Linked DNA regions of Arabidopsis thaliana. The protein of the gene in region 2 interacts with the protein of the main gene of each other region in a pairwise test. Each region holds a gene or a part of one and is shown on either strand. Other genes may lie near its edges.

Evidence for each region.
Region 1: the proteins of AT4G36590 (region 2) and AT3G05860 interact in a two-hybrid assay, tested with the Arabidopsis thaliana proteins (one large-scale study listed by BioGRID).

What each region holds. Positions count from the first base shown.
Region 1 is NC_003074.8:1,750,639-1,754,063, forward strand, and holds AT3G05860 (MADS-box transcription factor family protein), read right to left. Parts: upstream 1,770-3,425; 5' UTR 1,718-1,769; coding exon 1,175-1,717; intron 1,098-1,174; coding exon 1,065-1,097; coding exon of another isoform or gene 1,017-1,064; exon of another isoform or gene 975-1,016; coding exon 768-974; 3' UTR 747-767; downstream 1-746.
Region 2 is NC_003075.7:17,260,332-17,264,227, reverse strand, and holds AT4G36590 (MADS-box transcription factor family protein), read left to right. Parts: upstream 1-2,000; 5' UTR 2,001-2,038; coding exon 2,039-2,371; intron 2,372-2,668; coding exon 2,669-3,082; 3' UTR 3,083-3,291; downstream 3,292-3,896. Other genes in the region: AT4G36600 (Late embryogenesis abundant (LEA) protein), read right to left, coding at 1-106, 348-580; AT4G36580 (AAA-type ATPase family protein), read right to left, coding at 3,567-3,896.

The DNA.
Region 1 (3,425 bases), on a different chromosome or scaffold from region 2:
TAAAATAACAATCACTCACAATACATAGAAAAAAGAACTAACAACTTGGCTTTAATTACACTTTCTTGACGCAGCTAGTTTTGATGATTAATGCATATACATAGTGCTTCGTACTTTTCGAAGAGTGCTTAACGATGACAAATAAATACTTGTGGACAGTAGTAACCTCATATTCTGTATACAAAAGAGAAATTCTTAGTTTGATTTGCCAAAAAAAAAAAAAAAAAAAAAAAACTAAGAATCGTGAAAAGGTGATTGGAGTACTATGTTGGAAGACTCCTTAATGGTCATCAGTACTCATCGGTCTATATTAATTGACTAAATTAGAGTAATGAGTACCATCTATTTGCACCCCCACATGGATCTCCACCCCCATATTGTTTAACAAGGATCAATGTTGCAACCCAAAATAATACAAGGAACAAAACCAAAACTAGAAACTATTATCGATAATGTAAAGATGGAGAAAATATTATTTCTAGTTCATTTTCACATATATGCTAAGGATTACATTATGTTTTTAACCGTTGTTTTATATATATAATTAATAGATTATAAACTAAGTAGTAAAGTTATTTTAGATATTTGTTTAAAAACCAACATTGAAAATATAAAATGATAGTTTTGTGAAAATAAATAAAATTTTAAAACGACATTGAATATATAAAAAAGAGAGAAATAAATTATTCGGCATTAGAACAACATAAAAAACGAATATTGATTAAATAGTTAACTTTAAATCCATGAAATACATAGAGAATACATATCTAGGGTTGTTGGTAGTAAAAGTTGTTATCATCCATCAAAGGATGACTTATTTCCTTAGAATGATTCATCATATGATCATCCAGCCATTCCTCATGTTGATTCTGAATTTGACTCGGATTGTAAATTCCATCTTGAACCAAAATCGGATATCCAAACTGTTGTTGATATTGATATTGATTATGACTAAGATGATTAAAATTTGGATTCTGATCATAAACACCAAATGGATTTATCACTAGAGAATAACTTTACTGGTCAGCATCACTAGATAGAAAATTACTGGAGAAGATATTAACCTGATTTGGTCGCTGGATTGAAGAGATAATAGGCTTCAAAGACGAGAAATCATTGATTAGTCAAGGAGAGTTGAAAACATCGAGATAATTGGAAAGGAATAAGAACTCACTTCAACAACAGATGTTGGTGTCATGGCATTTGTAGCTCCCGAAGATTCTCCAGGTTCAATATGTGATTGATTTATGGTTTTGTTTTTGTGGTGATAAAGTTCTTTAAGATATTGATCAATGTACTTACACAAATCTTCACGGTTTCTATCAGTCAAATTAAGCTTCTCCCCTTTTCCACTAAGAAGTTGGAACATGGCTTCTTTCATCGTCCTCTCCGCATTATCGATCATCTTTTTGTTGTTACTCTCCATAGTTTTTGAGATGTTTTGTCTGATAAAACCTTCGTGGCTCACCATTTTCTTCTCTTGCTCCAACTTTGTCAACATCTCAAAATTTTCCATTACATTTTTAACTTCTGAATTCGATGGCCAGACTTCAGGGTTTGAGTTGAACGGACTATAAATCACTGCACATGCTTCGATTCCGCAGAGAACGGAAAGCTCGTGGATTTTTTTCACAAGCCCTTTCTTTCTCTTATTGAATGTTGCTTTTCTCATTGACTCATTGGTGATGTAAGATAGGTTTAGCTTCTTCCTCGTCATGGTAATGACAACAATAAAAAGGAATTTGTATGTCTAGTATCAAATATGTTTTGTATTGTTGTATGTTGTGTATTGTTTTTATCATGAGTTTGTTTATATGGAACAATCAACTGTTCAAGTGATGATCTCACAAATAGCTGGCAATTAAAAATATTGTAATTAAATGCACCAAAGTTCTTAATTAATATGAAATAATGCATAGTTATGCCACTTGGTACAAATAACAAAAATTATTGGCCAAAGTTTTTGAGTTGGCTACATCAAGATTACATCATAAATTCTGGTTATGAATGAATAATATGAGAACAATAAAAGAACTTTCCATTTAGATGATGAAGATATATATATTGTAATTAAATTTAGAGATTGTTTTCTATGTAAGTATGTACATCAAAATACAAATTATAAATATTTATTATTTTAGTTTGAATAACAGCTAATATGTACATTCAATAAAATTATTTACCTTTCGTGGACAATAGGACTAATAACTAGATTTAGAAAATGTATTCAATACATTGCATCTTCTCTAATGATTTATATTTGGATATGATAAAATACTTTTTGGTATTCAACTAATTTTACAGGTTGTCAAGTATATTACGTAAGATTTTGTAAAAAAAAAATTATTCTTTTAAATAAGATTTACTAGTACTAAAGGTATTTAACTGGTTGTAAACTTGTAGTGTTCTAGTAATATTGAAAATAAACATATTCTTCGTAAAAAATGATCAAACATTCTCAGATATATGAATGATCAAATCCAAAAAGAGATATGTTTATATCCAACATGTATATATCATAATTAAAAAAGTTTTAATATAATCCATCGTTTCAATACTTTTAAGAATTAAGATATCGAGATTAGTGACATCATATGATCTCTTCATAACTTTCGTAGATTGGATAAGTAAAAACAAACCCGTTATTTGGGCTTTTAATCTTAAAGCCCAATTTATTTCTCGGGCCAAAATCAATGAAACACGTCCGTCTCTTTTTCTCCTTCGTTTCGTTTCGTCACGCTCTTTCCCAAGTCCGATCCTCTCGCCATTGCCAGCAAAATTTCTTTCCCGGTTAAGAATTTTTCTATTTCGATTTCATCGTTCGGCTACACCATCGATCTTCACACTTATTTTTTAGGTATGTTCTTGTTGATCTTGTTTTTCGGACTTTGTAATGTGGTACCAGTTTTAGATAATTAGTTCTTGATAATTACGCTCAAATTCCGTTGCTTGGCACTGATTTATTCTGCGTTCGGTACTGATGATCGTTCTTCATTCTCATTCCGATGATTCTGTGGAGTTCACTGATCTAAGTTTGATTTTGGCATACCAGTTGTTCGATTAAATGCCTGAAAGAGAAAACATTCAATTCGTAAATTTCATATTTTGTCTTTGTTTTGGTTTATGATATTTTTATCTAATCTTAAGGCTTAACTTTCAAATACGTCTTGTATACGTGTTGCACAGAAGAGTTATACCTTGAGTTTTTGTTTGTGTAGTCTTTTGTTAGTAGTCTCTAATTTTACGAGTCTGTAACCATCTTTAGGCTTATAACAGGGTTTTTGAAACTGATTGAAGGTTTTTATTTATCCAGGAGGAAGCTATGAAAGTCAAGATCTTGCGTATCCTTTTGTTGCTTCATCTCTTCTTAGCTTTTTTGGGGGAAAGTTTATATTAGGTTAAGTGATAAATCATCCCAGGACTTT
Region 2 (3,896 bases):
CTTGGCGTAACCCGCATTGTCATAGGCGGATCCAGCCTTGTCATAAGCGTAGTTCTTCGCAGATTCAGCCGCTTCTTCTGCCTCAGCTTTCTTGCCTCCCAATCCTCTGTTACAATATTGGATCAATCATCTATATATTATCATTCTTAAATCACTTCACAGTTTGAAATGCAAATGATGCGTAACATGCGTTTATATATATACATTTCAAATTTCTCTTAAAACAAAACTCAGATCTACGTTTACAATTTGAAATCAAACACTATGAGAAGATGGTTCCATTAGAAGAAACCAACACAGATCCAAAATAGAAGTATGATCATGCCTAAACAAAAGTTAACGCTTACGTGGAAATTTTGTCGGAAACCCAACCAGCCCAAGAGGCGGTTTTGTCCTTTGTGTCATGAGCCGCATCGGACGCCATTTTCTTAGCGGTCTCGGCTGCGTTTTTAGCATGCTCTGCTTCGTTTCTAACCATATCCTCTGCTGTCTCCGTTCCCCATCCATAGCATTGCTTCTGCCACGTCAGCGTCACCACCGTCGTAAGCATCATAATCATCATCAACGTTCTTCTCTCCATTATTCCTATTCTTTAAAATTCCGATTTTTTGTTTTGTTTCTTGGTTCCAATCTTCATGGAGGAAGTTTCTAGTTATAGATGAGCGAGAGAGGGAGAGATCACATTCCTTTCTTTCACTAGATAAGCGGTTATTGTAAGACACGTGGTTATTCGATGATTACGTGGTTATTCGATGTTTACGTGGCAATTAAAGAGGCGGTTATGCTGGAAGTGCTTGCGACGTGTCCACTTGTGGTTCGATTTTGTAGGGTTAGTGTCTCCCGACCCGAGGTCACGTGGCCGGTCGCGTAGAGGAAGTTTCAATACTTGGAAAGATTAAAATAACCGGTTTAGAAAACCGAAGCCATGCGCTTAGCAGGGTTACAAACCGGATAATCCAGTAAAAAGGTAAATCAGAAAGTGTTTATTTTTTTACCTTTCTTAGTTAATCCAATGTTTTTTTTTTGTCATCTCATTTTTAAAGAAAACTGTTTTTTTTTTGGTTCAACCAAGAAAATTGATTTAAACCATAAAAAAACAAAACTAAGCCCAACAAGAAACCCAGCATGAGCCCAACCGAAAGTGAGAGAGGTGAAGAAGACACCAATTTTAAACGTTTTGACGATACAATTACAAAGTTTTCTAATAAGATAAGTCAGATAGTGTAAACTTTCACAAAAAATCAATTATATAAAATAATTTAAAATATTTATAAGAATCAATAATGATTATTGTAATATTCAAACATTTTATTTAAGAACAAAGATAGTTAAAAATCAACAATATTTGAGTATAAATCATTTTATTTATATCTTAGAAATGTTAATTTCAATAAACATAACTCACTATCATTATGAAAAATATATCTAGTAAATGGTATATATCTAAATTAAAAAAATTTGGGCCCATAACTCAAAATCTTTTGAATTTCATTTAATAATTTTTTTTATTATGTAAAGTACAACTGTATATTTTATCTAGTAATGATTGTGATATCTCAAAAATAGATAAATTTTGTTTTACTGTATAAATATTACTTGCATTAGCTGTATACAAACAAATAATTTAATGGATAATTTTGTTCAAGATTTTTCCCAAAAATATAGATTAAGTATTTTAACAAACAGCTCATAAAATTTTAATGTGCCTCTCATGGGCAGTTGGTGCATACATTTGTCAAACTGTTATGCATTTACCAACTAATATAATGATATTGCATTTGAAATATCATGAATTTTATATCCTTAAGAAATTTTAGAGATAATTATGTCCTTAAGAAATTTCAGAGATAATTATGAAATATTCCTCAAATTGGAAAATTAATTTTTTGGCAAAATTAAGGGTTGAAGGATTATGTTTACTTATAATGGACCTATAATGTATTACATTTCCATATGTAATACACCTGTATAAATATAAAGAACATATTTTATTTCTTAGCATCAAATTTGTCATTTGTTTATTCAAATTTTTGAGAAAATGGTGAGAAGTACCAAAGGTCGTCAGAAAATAGAGATGAAAAAAATGGAAAACGAAAGCAACCTTCAGGTTACTTTCTCAAAAAGAAGATTCGGTCTTTTCAAAAAAGCTAGTGAACTTTGCACATTAAGTGGTGCAGAGATTCTGTTGATTGTGTTCTCTCCTGGTGGGAAAGTGTTTTCTTTTGGCCATCCAAGTGTTCAAGAACTCATTCATCGCTTTTCGAATCCTAACCATAATTCTGCCATTGTCCATCATCAGAACAACAATCTCCAACTTGTTGAAACCCGTCCGGATAGAAATATCCAATATCTCAACAATATACTCACTGAGGTAAACAATTTTGTTTTAAAGAAAAATGCAAGAGAATTATATATATATATATATATATATATATATATATATATATATATATATATATATATATATATGCCAATTCTATGTCTATAACTTAATTTGTTAAGGGAAAAAGAGACCATCAATAGTTAGATTGTTTTCAAATCGTATCCATAGTTAGATTGTTAAAGATATCAAATGGTATCCATAGTTAGATTGTTTTCTTCAAAATGTTCAAATATATAAACCATATCTCGTTTTTTTCACAACATGATGAAATGAATCTCATTGCAGGTGCTGGCAAACCAGGAAAAGGAGAAACAGAAGAGAATGGTTTTGGACCTATTGAAAGAATCCAGAGAACAAGTAGGAAACTGGTATGAAAAAGATGTGAAAGATCTCGACATGAATGAAACCAACCAGCTGATATCTGCTCTTCAAGATGTGAAAAAGAAACTGGTAAGAGAAATGTCTCAATATTCTCAAGTAAATGTTTCGCAGAATTACTTTGGTCAAAGTTCTGGCGTGATTGGTGGTGGTAATGTTGGCATTGATCTTTTTGATCAAAGAAGAAATGCATTCAACTATAATCCAAACATGGTGTTTCCCAATCATACACCACCAATGTTTGGATACAACAATGATGGAGTTCTCGTTCCGATATCCAACATGAACTACATGTCAAGTTACAACTTCAACCAGAGCTAGAGTCTGAAGCTAGAAGAACATCCTAATCAATATTTGCGTTATTTTGGCTATGGTTACTGTTAGGATTGTTCTTGTATTGTGAGACTTAAGTTTGTTTTTTCTTTTAATTTGTTTCAGTTGGTTGGTTTTTCATTTTATTCGTCGTTTGTTTTCCTTTGTTTTTGGATATTTTTGTATCCAGAATAAATTTATTTATCCTTTAATTTTACTTATATTTTTATTTTTATTTTGCTATTTAAGCTTAATGTTATATACTGAAATCAAACCAGATTTACAAATGAACAAAACAATTTTTTAAGAAACCCTCATCAGACAGAAATGAATCTAATGTTAACAACGAGAAGTGTTCATATGTAAGACTTCAAGATTCTGTAAAACTCTTTAACATGTTTAATCTAAAAATTCAATTTTAGGACTCATTTTAAAACAATCAGATTCTTCTTTCTGATCAAGTAAATGACATGTATAATCAAAATCCAAATGACTAAGAGAAGAGTAATGGCTGAAAACCTTCAGAAGCAAGCATATGCCTTCGGTGATGTTCTTCAACCTTATATTCAACAATCTCTTTAAAAAGCTGTGAATCCAAAACACAATCCGCTCGTCCGTACACTCCAGCTTGTACTCCAGCCACAAGCTTTGCAATCTCACGGCCAGAGAATCCTTCTGTCTTCTTTGCAGCCTCAGAAATCACTTTATCAGTTAAGTCTTCTTCAACGGTAATCTTCTGTGACAGCTTCTTAAACAAATGACTCCATTTCGGTTTTGTGTCTTCGTTGTTATCACCCATCTTTAGATATTTGTTGAGATAGAG